Caenorhabditis elegans: one gene and its partner. The protein of the gene in region 1 interacts with the protein of each later gene in a pairwise test. Each region holds a gene or a part of one and is shown on either strand. Other genes may lie near its edges.

Region 1 (9,121 bases):
TATAGTTAAGCGTTTTTTTTTTTCGGGAGTTCTACGGTAATATTTTGGCAATTTGGCACTGTCTATTAACACTTCTGGAATTTTATAGATTTTGAAACTATAGTAAAACTAAAAAATTTGATTGAAAAAAAACGTGTTCAAAAAAACTTCACCGAGAAAAAAGACTAAAAAGTCGTATTTCTCTCTCTTCAGATTTCTCTTCAGATGTTTTTTTATGGGCCATTTGTTCAACTTGAGAATTGGAGAGTTGAAAACTCAAGAAAAAAATATATATATACAACAAGTGACGTTTCCCACTCTGTGTCTCCATCTGCAGCCCATAAAAAAAGAAAGAAATATTTTTTTTTTTTCGAAAAAAAGCAGTGAAGAAAAAAGGTTTTGTTAAGATGGAAGAGAAATGACGTAACGCCGGGTTCCACAACCATAGATTTGCGTGTCTACGGGGATTTTGAGAAAGGGACGAGCAAACCGAAGAACCGAAAAACTGACGGAAGTAACCAAAAAGCAAAAGAAAAGAAAAAAGAAAAAGAAGAAGCTGAGGACCCAGCTGGTCGGACTCATGTGACACTGTTTGTCGTTCATAAGAAGCGGGTATTCTATTGAGTTACGGATGTTCTGCGTCATAGCTCTGAGAGCTCTCAAGACAAATTTGATTATGTGACCGTTTGCAAAAATTATGTGAATGCTAAGGATTTTTTTGGTCTAATGAAAATTTCTGGAAGAGAGAAATTCATAATATTACTGTACTTATGAATTTTGAATTACTAATGACTTTTTTGGTGAACATTTTTTTCAACTAATCATTTTGCATATTGTTTCAATTTTTGTTGTTCGGTGTTTGATAACTATATATCTGCGTACTGAAAAGGGCAGAAAATGGAGCAGAAGGCAGAAAAAGATGATGTTCGTCTCAAAAGAAAATTCTCTTACACTACTAAACTCGATTACCGAACAGCCATTTGGGACACCGAACGTCAAATTCAATTATACATTCTATAAAAAAAGAAACACAGCTCAAGGAGCCGCAGAAGGCGACATGCGCGCATTTTCTATAAATTGGATTCAACCTTCGGTTAGATAGTAAATCTTGGAAAAAAATCTTCGAGCTACCTCGGAATTGGGGAAAGGGATTGGGGAATAGTATAAAGTAAAAAAAGTTTAAGGTGAAGTAAGGTCAGTGGGGATATTCTTAAAAATCATTTCTATAGTGGTAAAATGAGCAAATGTCAAAATAGACCTTTTCAAAAAGTTTTGGAACTTTTTTATTTCGATTCAAAAATTTTTGAATATTCAGTTTTCACAAATTTTTTTGGAAGTCGTCGATCGGAAATATTTGTTTTCATGTTTAATCACGTTTAATATATTCATACATCAACTTCGCAGCAGTTAATACATGCGACATTGTTTCAGATTTCTTGAAAAGTTAAAAAATATTTTTTAGCATTTTCCCACCTAGCTTTAAATGAAAACTTTCATAAACTATGTGGCTACTCATTTGCTATCTTTAGAATTTAAAACTTTTTGTTATAAAACGACAATAATTTGTATTTTTCTTCAAATATCCAAAAGAAAACAAAAACAAATTTTCCAGTCTTCAAAAAGTCGCTGTCGATCTACCTAACTTCCGACACAAGAATCTGAAGCTGGAACATTTTTTGTATAAGAACAACAATTTATTTGAACACTTAAAATATTTCTGGTAAAAAAACCTGGTAACTATGAAAATGTATTAGTATCTTTCAATAATTTAAATAATTTTTTTCTGAGTTATTCCTCACTTTTTTTGTCCAACCAGTTGTTATGACCCCTTTTAGGCATAAAAACTCTAATCCTTTATACTCAAAACCGGATGAGTAGCGAAAATGAGATAAATAACAAAACATGGTTTTGCATTACTTTTTTTCAATTTCCGAATTGTCAATGCACGTGATAATTGCAACAGATATACTGATTTTTATTTTGCATTCCGCAATTTTTTAAAAAAGTAAATTTCAATTTTCAATTAATAAAGCAAACGACATACCGTTATTTTCAGAAAAAATAAAATATGGGAGGCAAGAGAATGATACTACTGTACTTTTATTTCTCAAAACATGACCATTGATGGTGAAAGGCAAGAGAGCCGAACCTTCATTGAGTATTCTAATATTGCAAAACGAGATATCACACAAAATGAAGAGAGTTAGAGACACTCCCAACCCGTGTGTCTACTTCATCTTTCCCCTCGCAATCTCTCTTGTTTGTCTCTTTTTCTCTTCTCTTCACCACCCTTATACTCCCGCCGGCGGCGGAACACGCGGCGCGGCTTCGCAGTGCCTGCTTGCCTGCGAATCAAACGATAAACCGCGGCAATTCAAATGCGGCCGAAAAATTCGGGACAAACTATAGGAAGGCGAATTTGAGTGGAAGAGAAGCCGTCGGCGGCGCGTTGCCAGGTGACCGGCCGAGTTATTAAGGGCGAGCGCGAGACTGCGCCGAATTTATATGGAGAGCAGATATAGAAAAAGAATGAAAAACTAAGAGTGTAGCGATTTTGGAGACGAGCCGTCGAATGCATTTTGTGGTTTTACCAAAAAGAAAGTGCGATTGAAGGTTTCGCCTTCTGAGTGTCGCCCGCCTTCACCTCAAATTGCAGTCAAGGTAGAAGCCATCGGGGCTCTGTCCGAGACATGTACAACTGCTCACTATTATTGTACTCTTGTTAATATATATTATGGCAATGCAAAAACAGCAGCTCACGGTACGTGGTTTTGATTTTGAAAAGTAGAAAGGCAATTTGTAATGCTGGTCAGAAATAAATACAAAAAATTTGAAAACTGAAGCAGTTTTGTGAGACCGTGAATATATGAAAATTTGGAAAGTTCATTCCATAGAGAAGTATTTTTAATGTTAGTTTGTTTTTGCAATAATGCATATTTAATGACGAAAATTTTTTAAAAATAAATTCAAAACCTCTAGACTTAGAATTCTCATATAATGAAACAAATAAAATTTAATTATAAATTCTTCTAAAAAATTTACAAAAATTTGGAAAATCACGTTTGGTTTTTAAGCTTTCATATAAAAACTTTAAATGGTGGAGTGCGACCATTGAAAAATTTTATAAAAAATCGTTCCTACTGAAATCACAAAATAGCATAATAAAACGCTCCAAAAAAAACCGCATATGTTTTATTTCGAGATGAAAAGTGATGAAAACAAATAAAACAATTTAACATTTTCAATAACTTTTTGGATAAATATTATTATGATGTTGTTCATATAAGCACGCTAGTAACTTTTTAAAATAATTTACTATTTGACCGCGCCATAAAATAACCAAACTTTGTAGAGTTTTTCTACTTTGTCCTTCAAAGTCACTTTGTTTGCAAAGTTGGCAAAAATCAAAAGCGGTAAAAAATTTCAGCAATTCTTATCTTCTTATCTTATCACTATCAAACTTTATCAATTCGTGTGTCGTATCCGGCTCAAATTTGCAACAAACTTTACCCACTTTGATTCCTAGCATAATTTTTTTTTCCTGGGGAATGTGTGCTAGTCGGGTTGTCATTAGCAATGTAACATGTGTCTAGAATATCTGAACGCAACAATATCAAACGACGAAAATACGAACATTGTGACTAGAGCCGTGATTTGTTTCGCAATTCTTAAAAGTCAGACAAAGAGATGTTTTTGTTGAAAAAGAAAACAACAACGTCATTGAAAACAAAGCCAGAGATCTTTAGATGTCAAGGATTCCAAAAGTTGACGCTTTGAGATTATAAACCGTAAATGTTTTTTTTTGTAAAAAGCCCAGAGAAATTGAAAATCAGGAATTCGATTTCAATGAGACTGATGTAATTCGAAACTATCTAGTTTTTGTTTACTCTCCAACACAGAAATTTGGAAATTGGAATCTGTTTTTGACGAGTCATTGTATTTTTTTTCTTTTTGACTTCATTTCAGAGAACCTAAAATTTCTTCCCGCAATCACCAGGAAATGCCTTAGACATCTAATCACGTTAACCACTATTTTTGTTTTCGAGATTACAAGCCTTTTTTTTACTGCGCCACTATTTTCTTTTCCTATTTTCCAATCAACTTTTTTTTTTATAACTATGTGTACACATTATGTAAAGCTACGAAAAACCAGAGCAATTTGTGGTCATCTATTGAAAAAGAAAACGTTTTTTTCTTGCTTCAGCCAAATTTTTTTCATGTTCGTAGGCAAAAGCATATATACTTAAAGGTCGGAGTTGTACTAGTAGAGGACATAACGTTGTCAAAAAGAAAATGAGTGAAATTATTTATTGAACAGAAGTACTATGCATTGTTAAAGAGGAATGTACGGTGCAATTTTAGAAAGAAAAATCTAGACAGATTCGAAACAGGAAATGATTCAACTAATTACTGTTTGAGGCAAAGGTTTAAAAAAATTATACACCGTATAAATTTATAGTTTAGCAAATTACAGGTTGTGGTACGAGTACGGCCACTGAACTCTGGAGAAAAGTCTCGTAAAGCTTTTCAATGTGTGTTTCCATTGGATAAAAAGGTACCTCGAACATCACTTTCAAAAAAATTGAATTTATTTTCTTTCAAGCGAGTACTACTTGTGGATCCCGAAAAGTTTGAAAACAACATTCTCCGACAAAACCGACAACATGAACGAAAGTTCGAGTTTGATGCATCATTTGGAGCAACATCTAATCAGGTTTTGGGATAAGAATTCTTGAAATTGTGTACTTTGTTTTCTAGGAGGACGTGCACGAAACAACAACTGGTCCTATTATCGACTCAGTTGTTGAAGGGTTCAATGCCACTGTTTTTGCATATGGTGCTACTGGGTCCGGCAAGACGTTTACTATGATTGGAACAAAAGACAGGCCAGGATTGATGACGTTGATGACAAAAACCTTGTATGAGAAATTGGATAATCAATATCAAGTGTTGTTATCCTATATGGTGAGGATAGGGAATATTCAAAAAAAGTCATAAGCATTGGCTTTTATTTATAAATTCTATATATTCAAACAAACCATTTTTAAATTTCTAGACATGCCACATTTGAAAACATATGTTTCCATTAGGTTACGAAAAAAGAATTTCAAAACTCAACTCCATCTTCACACAATTCAACTTAAACTTAGTTAAAACCGTTAGGCCCTTTTGGTCATTCTTATTTAAAATTGTTTGTGAAGAACTATTAGATCGCAACTTTGATTGCTCATCTGTGAAAAAACAAAGAGAAATAAGAAAAAGAAGAAAAACTACAGTAATTTAAATGTTCACAAAAAATCATAAAAATGAGTGATACTCGTGACGGGACCATTTCGCATACACGTCCCTTAACAATACTCTACCGTTGTACACTTATTATTCAGGAAATCTACAACGAAATAATCAGAGATCTTCTAAATCCTAGTGGAGGCGACTTGGAACTATTAGAAGATGAGCGTGGAAACATCCGAGTACCCGGTTTGTCCTCAGTAAAAGCACCAAATCTAACCCGAGTACGTGGTCAATTTTTCCGTGATTGAAAAACGCAGAGAGCCGCTTTCAAGTGGCAATCTTGCGTTTCACAGCTTCACATTAATTCTCTTACAAATTTCCCGCATTTTGTAGATCATGCAAATATTGCAAGAAGGCAATCTACGACGCACTCAGGAAGCGACGATGGCGAATAAAACAAGCTCAAGGAGTCACGCGTTGCTTCAGGCAAGATTCAATCTTGGGGATACACTCCCTGCTCTTTGAGTACACGTAGTTGATCTTTGTGTTTTTTCGAGACATTTTGAGACATAAGATAGCTTTAAAAACATTTTCAGTAGAAGAGATTGAACGTATGCCTGATTTTTTTGACAATAAAAGAAAATAAATAATTTTTAGGTGATGATCGTCAAAAATCAATCTCTTCACAGTAAACTTTTCATGATAGATCTAGCAGGCTCCGAGCGAGCTTCCAACACCCAAGTAGGTCCCAATTCCATTTTCTCCATTTTCATAAAAATCACTTAGAATCGTGGAATCCGGTTGAAAGAGGGAGCTGCAATAAATCGCTCACTGTTGGCACTTGGGAATGTCATTAACTCGTTGGCTTCGAGTGAGTTAAGAGGCTTTCTGGAAAAGTGATTTCAAGAAGTGTAGTCATCAATTAATTCTTGGAAAAAATAAAGCTGTTTGATGTGACTTGCTTTTCAGAGACTACCAAATTTGTGAACTATCGGGATAGCAAATTGACAAGACTTTTGAAGGATTCGCTTGGTTGGTTTTTGACTACATGAACACATAACGAAACGAGCAAATAATTTATATTTTAGGAGGGACGGCGAAAACATGCATGATAGCTCACGTCACCCCATCAAGTTCTAATTTTGAAGAGACATATAACACACTGATGTATGCATCAAGAGCAATGAACATTACCAATAAAGTAACGTTAACGTGTTAAATAGGAACACAGTTTTTATTTTTAGCCAATGCGGAATCGGCCAGCTTCCGCCGATCAAGTTTATGCAGAGGCGATGAATGCGATCAGGAAGGAAGTTGGATCGCAGATTAAGAATTCGTCATCAATTACCGGATGTGAGAAAATTTTTTTGAATCCAAATAGTGATCCATAATGAAAAAAACAAATACTTTATTTGCTTCAAACACAAAACACTACTAAACCTCAGGCTACAAACATAGATTCCAAGCGGTTTTAAAAGTTGGCAAAATATTTTGTCCACTACACTTATCATAATCCAAAACGACGGAATACCATATTGAAACACTCAAAAAAATTTTTAGATTTTTCAAAATTTTCAGTCAACGTTTTGGTGAATAGCCAACATTTAAAAAAAGAAGAGATTTTAAGGAAATCCAGAGAAATTTTGCATGGTCTGAACCTTACACATAATGTTAAAAAAAAATATTGAAACAAAATTATAGTAAAAAACCGTGAAAAAAACATTCTTTCTGGTCGACTTTCAAAATTTGGAGTGGAAAAACTGAGTAATTGCCACTTTTTGAGCGTAAATAACAATTTTCGAATTTTTTTTAGAAAAGTTTTACTATGATATCTGGTCACTTTGGAACCATTGAAGTACTTTAAGCACTTGTCTCACGGGGTCTACTCCATTTTTAAATTTCCAATTCAAGTTGAAAGTGTTCTTTTGAATTTGAATAGAACGCGATTACATTTTTTGTTGCTTTTCAAAGTTAAAACTACATTTTAAAGAAAATTATAAAATAGACAATTTGTTTGAAATGTGTAAACGGTTTGAATCATTGCTGCTGCTTTTTCAGTAAATAAAAAACAAAAAAAAACTGAACTAAGAAACCGCGAGACAAAATCGGTCTGGCCGTAGAGACTCAAGCCTCAAAGACAAAAAAAATAAGTAAATTTAGTAGGAATGCGTAGAAGTACTTCTAAAACTTTCTAACACTTTTATACAATTGAATTTCAGTGGCAGCAAGAAGCAGTGTGCAAGAAAGGAGCAGCAGCCGTAACCGTCCAAAATCTATCTCACGGAATAGCAGCCTAACGAGAGCGGCTCAACCGATGCCGGTCAGTTGAAAAAAAAAACACAGAGACATACATCATAAATTAGTTTCATTTTTCAGATAGACCGTGGGCGTGGAGGATCACTTTTCACACAGCTCAAGGAGCAATACATGACATTGTCGGATAAACAAAAGCGATTGAGGTAATTTGAGGTAAAAATTAATAATGGAATAATTGAAAAGTTACAGGGAGAAATTGATGGCTACAAATCAAGAAGCCTACTCATTAGAAATGTCTTTAATTTCTAAAAATGCAATAATTAATGCTTGGGAGAAGCATCATCACGACAAGACAGCTGAAAGTATTGAAAGGTTGAAAAAGGATGGAGAACTTCAAGTAAGTGTGTTTATCAGTTGTATCTTGGGACACAATGGGTGCAACAAGAACTTATCACTTTGGAAAATTTGATGGGAATTCTTTTTGACTGACTTTCAGTTTTTGATGTTTTTAATGCAAAATCAAAACGAGAAACATAGAAGACAGGTAGTCAACAATGCATACCTTTCATTGACACCTTGCATACCTTTCATTGACACCTTGTCATGATCTGAAATAATGTTTCAAGAGAAAACCGGTCGGTGTATATCTTGTTTTTTCAGCGAGTGCGCCTTGTGGAACTATCTGATCAACGAACTAAAGTGGAGAAGGCACTCCGGAAAGGGGAGGAGAATGCGAGTGGGCTGGAATCTCGAATGAGAAGCCTGGCATCCACTAATGAGCAGCGAGAAGTTGTTAAATTGATGGTGAAGATGGCTGAGATAGAAGCACAAAGTGGGCGTTTAGAGTTATTTTTAGAAACTTATTAAGGTTTTCCGTTTCAGAAATTTCCGCATTGTCGGATCTTGCCATCCGGGGATTGATCATGGATAGAACTGATACATCTATTGCAAAGCTTCAAAAATATGAAATGGTGGCTGATAAGCTGATCGATGGAAAGCTAGACGGTAAGATTGCGATAATGCAATTTAAAATTTTTGAGAATTTTTTTTTCACAAATCGAATAATGTTTAAGACAATGATCGTAAGAAACTTGAAGAAGAATACCGAGTGATCAAAAATCAGTTCCATTATCATCTGCTCCCACTGAAAAACATTCAAACGACGGTCTCGTGGAATTCAATGCTGCTTCCGAAAATTATTAACAACAACAACACAATCATAATAGAGGATCGGTGCGTATGAGTGTTTCCGGTTTAGGTGTACATCAAATTTTCTTATGATCAGACCTGATCAGCACTGTAAAAATCACGCGTGCAAAATTTTGTTTTGATCTTAAATTGTGTGTAACTATAAGTTTTCCCGTATTGTTAAATTGAAAGTCGAAAAATAAATCAAAATTTGTTTTAGAAGTGTTTTATTAAAACTATCCAAAAAGGCTGGGGGTCCTAAAGGCCATCTTAATGTTGGTTGTGCTACAATTTTGTCTGGCTCCGCACTTCTAAAAATAGCTTGTTGCGGAATTTTTATAAACTTTTTGTCAAAGTATAAAGAAATATTTAATTATCTTTAATGTTATTCTAGTTGTCAACGACCAAAAAACATGTTCGAAAATTTGTCGGACTTTTGTCAGCAAGTGACAATTTTAATACAATA
Region 2 (5,915 bases), on another chromosome or scaffold:
CAAAGAAAAAAAAACAAACAAAGGATAAAGAAATTAATTTTATTTTATTTTTGAATGGCAAGAAAATACATGTAAACTGAAAATTACTAAAATTCTTTTGGAATCAATGCGATTCCGGCGTAGGAGCGTCCCTGCGACATTGGAGCCTGAAAAAAAAAACGGAAATTAAATAACAAAACATGTTTTAAAATGAGGAGACCCGAAGAACTCGGGGGATGTCCAACTGGGGGGATTACCAACTCGGGGGATTGGCCCCGCCCACAGAACCGTGGCTTGCAATACGCCCATTTCTGCAACTGCCGCACGGTTTTAAAATCATTTTTTCTTGTTAATTCTCGCTCTATTGAGAAAAATACAGTTTTAAAACCGTGCGGCAGTTGCAGAAATGGGCGTATTGCAAGCCACGGTTCTGTGGGCGGGGCCAATCCCCCGAGTTGGTAATCCCCCCAGTTGGACATCCCCCGAGTTCTTCGGGTCTCAAAATGAGATTTTAACTACAGTATTTTATTTAAAGGCGCCTAACACTGTTTCAGGTGGGTCTCACAGCGACCAGCTTTCATAGTGGAAATTTTTAAATAGAATTGAATTTTTCTCACTCAGTAAGTAGTATTTTTCGGTCAGTATTTAATGTATTTTCTTGTAATATTATGTTTTATCAAAACAAAAATTGTCAAAGAAAATTAAAATTGTGAAAACCCAATTTTTAAAAATTGAAAATTAACTACAGTACCTATTTAAAGGCGCATATTACTTTCTAGCTGGGTCTCGCGGAGACCAGTTTTCAATGCGGGATTTTTGAAAGAAAATCTATTTTCTTTGGTCAAAAATCACTTTTCCCGTCAAATTTTACTACTTTTTCTTTGTAATATTATGCTTACATCGACGATTTTCCACTGCGCGTCTGACCTGTCACTCAGCTGAATACATTCTATTGTTGACAGATTGCTCGAGCCGTCGTCGCCACCCACAGCATAGAGAAGACCTGCAAAAATGCTATTACTATTTAAAAATATGATTTAAAATTATTAATTCTACCGTTCAAAGCTGTAGCTGCGGTATTTCTTCTCGGAATTGCCATATTGGCGAGCTCAATCCATTCCTCTCCGATTAATATCTAAATTATCGACTTTTTTGGAGTAAAATATAATTTTTCCCATTCCTACCTCTGCTGATCGGTGAATTTCTGCCCCTTTATGTCCTCCTACTGCTATAATTTTCTTATCGTACACAGTGACGCCAGCTCCTGATCTGACATTCAGCATTGCAGGCCCTGGACGCCATTTGTGAGCTCTTCGATCGAAAATTTCTACCTAAAAAGTGCGGTGTTTCATTTATCGACGTATTTTTCTACTATTAAACCGAAGAATATAGTTTGGAATTTATTTACCACTATAATTCAGCAAGTGCGTCAGCTCACCACAAAACGCACCAAGGGGCTGACGCGTTTCTCGTGCGCCGCTAAATCTCAATTTCTGCAGACTTTTCCCTATTTCCATGCTTTTCATAAGTATTTTGCAGGGAATTTCTAGTTTTTTCGATGAAAATTTTAATTTTTTTAGGCTATAATTCGAGTTTTCTTTTTAAAATGTCGGTATTACTACCTTTAAAGTCAATGTTAATCCAGTAAAATCGAATTTTTCCTCTTTTTTACTTTTTCCTCTCCTCTGTGCACTCTGCCTCTCCCGTAAATTTCGCTATTTTGCTCAGTAGTATTGAACGCCACGTCGAAGCATTGCATCACTTTCCGTCATGCTTTAATAGTATTTCGAAATAAAAATTTACTTATTGTATTTAAGGTACGCGCAGCTTCTTATGGGAATCGTTAGATGCGATTGAACTGTTTCCGGATATTTGTTCACATTCAAAAACCGACACAAATCTTCAAACCGTTTTATCGCTCGCTTTCTTCCGAGGCTTCTGATAAATATCATTTTGTGAACGGCCACGTACGTACTTTTCCGTATAAACTTTAAGAATTGAGTTATTCACTAATTTAATTTTTTTAATTTCAGAAAATGTCGAAGGCCCCAACCGATATGGCGCCATGGCCGGCGTTCATTGAGGAGAGAATCAAACTTTGGGACAAGTTGAAGGCGGAATACGACGCTGAAATTGCTGCCAAAGAGTCTGAGCCAATTCAGATCACTCTTCCCGACGGAAAGATCCACGAGGGAAAGACATGGCGTACTACTCCATTCGAAATCGCCGAGAGAATCTCCAAGGGACTCGCCGAGGCCGCCGTCATCGCAAAAGTCAACGGAGCTGTGTGGGATTTGGATCGTCCATTTGAAGGAAATGCAAAGTTGGAGCTCTTGAAGTTTGATGATGATGAGGCTAAGCAAGTGAGTTTTTTGTTTAGTTTTTTATGGAAATAATTATCAATTTAATTTCAGGTTTTCTGGCACTCTTCTGCTCACGTTCTCGGAGAGGCTATGGAGCGTTATTGTGGAGGTCATCTTTGCTACGGACCACCAATCCAAGAAGGTTTCTACTATGATATGTGGCATGAGAACCGCACAATCTGCCCTGATGATTTCCCGAAGATCGATCAAATCGTAAAGGCCGCAGTAAAAGATAAGCAAAAGTTCGAGCGTCTTGAAATGACAAAAGAGGATCTGCTGGAAATGTTCAAGTACAATGAGTTCAAAGTCAGAATTATCACGGAAAAGATTCACACTCCAAAAACCACCGTCTATCGATGTGGACCCCTCATTGACTTGTGCCGTGGCCCCCACGTCCGTCACACCGGAAAAGTCAAGGCCATGGCAATCACCAAGAATTCATCGTCTTACTGGGAGGGAAAAGCCGACGCTGAGTCCTTGCAGAGACTTTATGGAATCTCGTTCCCCGATTCAAAGCAACTTAAAGAGTGGCAGAAACTTCAAGAAGAAGCCGCGAAGCGAGATCATCGTAAACTCGGAAAAGAACATGATCTCTTCTTCTTTCATCAACTTTCTCCGGGATCGGCGTTCTGGTATCCGAAAGGAGCACATATCTACAATAAGCTCGTCGATTTCATCCGAAAGCAGTACAGACGACGCGGTTTCACCGAGGTTATCACTCCAAATATGTACAACAAAAAGCTCTGGGAGACTTCCGGTCATTGGCAGCATTATTCGGAGGATATGTTCAAGATCGAGGTGGAGAAGGAAGAGTTCGGTTTGAAGCCGATGAACTGCCCGGGGCATTGTCTCATGTTCGGACACATGCCACACACCTACAATGAGCTTCCATTCCGATTCGCTGATTTTGGAGTTTTGCACAGAAATGAAATGTCTGGTGCTTTGACTGGACTTACACGTGTTCGTCGCTTCCAACAAGATGATGCTCACATTTTCTGTCGTCAAGATCAAATTTCCGAGGAGATCAAGGTATTTCTGCTTCTGATTCCGAGTGAAAAATTATTGTTTTAAAAATGTCCCAAAGTCGATTTACGAGAATTTTTTAAAATTCCGATATCAGTTGTTCAATGTTTCTTCATTTTCGTCGGTTTTTTTCTTTTAAATTAACATAAAAATCCAGCAAAATTTTCCGGTTTTCAGTTAGTTAAATATAATAAATTGTCACGAAAAAAAAAATCACGTAAATCGACAAATGGCGTCAAATGAAAGGCATATTTAAAAATTTTCACAAACCTAGATGTTCGGAATCAGGGAAAAATTGCCTTTTTAATGAAAAAAAAACCAACAAAATTTCAGCAATGCCTCGACTTCCTCGAGTACGCCTACGAGAAAGTGTTCGGCTTCACCTTCAAGCTTAACCTCTCGACACGACCAGAAGGATTCCTTGGAAACATCGAAACATGGGACAAGGCCGAAGCAGATCTCACCAATGCGCTCAACGCTTCAGGCAGAAAATGGGTGTTGAACCCGGGAGATGGAGCATTCTACGGACCGAAAATCGATATCACCATTCAAGATGCTCTCAAGAGAAACTTCCAGTGCGCCACAATTCAGCTTGACTTCCAACTTCCGAATCAATTTGATCTTTCCTATTTCGAGTGAGAAAAAAACTCTAAAATCTAAAAAAATTTAATTTTCAATTTTTCAGCGAGAAGGGAGAAAAGCAGAGACCAGTCATGATTCATCGTGCTGTTCTTGGATCAGTTGAGCGGATGACAGCTATTCTCACTGAAAGTTATGGAGGAAAATGGCCATTCTGGCTCTCACCAAGGCAATGTAAAATCATCACTGTTCACGAGTCAGTCAGAGACTATGCAAATGACGTCAAAAAGCAGATCTTCGAGGCCGGATTTGAGATTGAGTATGAGGAGAATTGTGGTGACACGATGAATAAGCAGGTACATTTAACTCCATTCTTAAGATATTTCAATATTAAAATTTTAGGTCCGAAAGGCCCAGCTTGCCCAGTTCAACTTCATTCTCGTCATTGGAGCCAAAGAAAAAGAGAACGGAACAGTAAATGTGCGCACCAGGGACAACGCAGTTCGAGGAGAGGTCGCACTCGACAAGCTTATCTCAAAGTTCAGAAGATTTGCTGACGAGTATGTCGCCGACACGGAAAAGTCTGAGGAATGGGCATAAACTTCTTGTTCGTTGATAATTTTATAATTATAGTATTTATTGGTTCCCCCCACGCGCCCACGTCTTCTAATGCATTGAATTCCAGTTAATTTTTGTGTTCCCTGATTGTTATCCTCTTCGGTATTGCTTTATATATTTGTTTGTTTTTTATTTTATTTCTTCGGTTTTTCTTTTACTCCCCATTTCCCACCAGTGTTTCTCATGAAGTAAAACAAACCGTATTCAGGCATTGCTTTGAGACACCATCGAATCCCCCAATCGCATAGATATCCTCTTCGAACGCTGCCACTCCAACACTTGATCTTCTCGTGCTCATTGATGGAAGTGGAAACCAATTTCCTGTGTGTGGATCGAAATATTCTGCACTCGCAAGCCCGGTAGTTCCATCGAATCCCCCAACTGCATACAACACCTGTTGACACGTGGTTATCCCGTGAGTGGATCGGCGAGCACTCATCTGATTCGCGGAACGCCATGTATCGGTTCGTGGATCATAGAAATCCACGGATCTCACCCGCTGTGCTCCATTGAACCCGCCAGTGGTGTACACGTAACCATTGCACATGCTCACTCCACTTCGGCACCTTCTCTGTGGAAGGGATGCACACGAGCTCCAGAGTTGGCTATCAGGATCGAACAAATCGACGTTGGTGATCGCTTTTGGAGCCTGCCCACCGACGATCATTATGTGCTGGGATTCTGGCATGGGTTCACGGGCGACGAACCATTTTCGGTTGAGCTCCTGAATCGGATAGTGGGGCTCCGTGCTGGAAATGTCTTGCTTCGTGATTTTCAGCTGATGCATTCCTTCGATGATCACGTTTAGACAAGCCGCATCACTTTTGATCATCTCGTCATTTCTCCATTTTTCGAAAAGATAATCATCACCCAGCAATGGCAGGCGAACATTTGACATTAGTCTGAAAGTTTTTATTCATTTGATTTTTGTTTCAAGGTCTCGCCACGACAAATTTTTGTCAAATGCGAAAAAGTCTGCGCTTTTAAGGGGTACTGTAGTTTCGAACTTTCATAGTTTTTCGTCAAAGTTTAAAACTACAGTACTCTCCAAAAGCGCACACCGATTTCTTTTCAACAAAAACTGTCGTGTCGAGACCATATTTTTGTAGTAAAATCTACGCACTCTGCCAAAAAAGGCCGTCGACTGGGCTCTTCATGAGCCACCCAATTCAAGACTGCTTGCATTACAGGCTTCTCACTGGGTACTGTAATTCTGTCATCCTGTATCAACTCACAAAACGCGTCTTTGTCAAGGCTCAGGAGCTCCTCGTTGTCGATTATTTCTCTGGAAAAAAAAAAAGAAATTTTTAATTTTATTTTGCAGGCTTATTTACGCACGCGCCTTTAAGTTTT

The links. Proteins that work in one complex are often made in the same cells at the same time.
Region 2: the proteins of klp-13 (region 1) and tars-1 interact in a two-hybrid assay, tested with the Caenorhabditis elegans proteins (one large-scale study listed by BioGRID).

The regions. Positions count from the first base shown.
Region 1 is NC_003284.9:5,982,479-5,991,599, forward strand, and holds the start of klp-13 (Kinesin-like protein), read left to right. Parts: upstream 1-2,510; 5' UTR 2,511-2,713; coding exon 2,714-2,740; intron 2,741-4,453; coding exon 4,454-4,534; intron 4,535-4,582; coding exon 4,583-4,693; intron 4,694-4,737; coding exon 4,738-4,944; intron 4,945-5,363; coding exon 5,364-5,492; intron 5,493-5,604; coding exon 5,605-5,697; intron 5,698-5,868; coding exon 5,869-5,952; intron 5,953-5,997; coding exon 5,998-6,082; intron 6,083-6,180; coding exon 6,181-6,243; intron 6,244-6,299; coding exon 6,300-6,412; intron 6,413-6,455; coding exon 6,456-6,564; intron 6,565-7,430; coding exon 7,431-7,531; intron 7,532-7,587; coding exon 7,588-7,670; intron 7,671-7,716; coding exon 7,717-7,864; intron 7,865-8,127; coding exon 8,128-8,299; intron 8,300-8,349; coding exon 8,350-8,472; intron 8,473-8,540; coding exon 8,541-8,700; intron 8,701-9,121.
Region 2 is NC_003280.10:11,690,175-11,696,089, reverse strand, and holds tars-1 (Threonine--tRNA ligase, cytoplasmic), read left to right. Parts: upstream 1-1,796; 5' UTR 1,797-1,826; coding exon 1,827-1,946; intron 1,947-2,012; coding exon 2,013-2,342; intron 2,343-2,393; coding exon 2,394-3,371; intron 3,372-3,698; coding exon 3,699-4,000; intron 4,001-4,050; coding exon 4,051-4,300; intron 4,301-4,346; coding exon 4,347-4,544; 3' UTR 4,545-4,761; downstream 4,762-5,915. Other genes in the region: kel-1 (BTB domain-containing protein), read right to left, coding at 87-146, 879-982, 1,036-1,114, 1,164-1,310, 4,762-5,464, 5,686-5,847.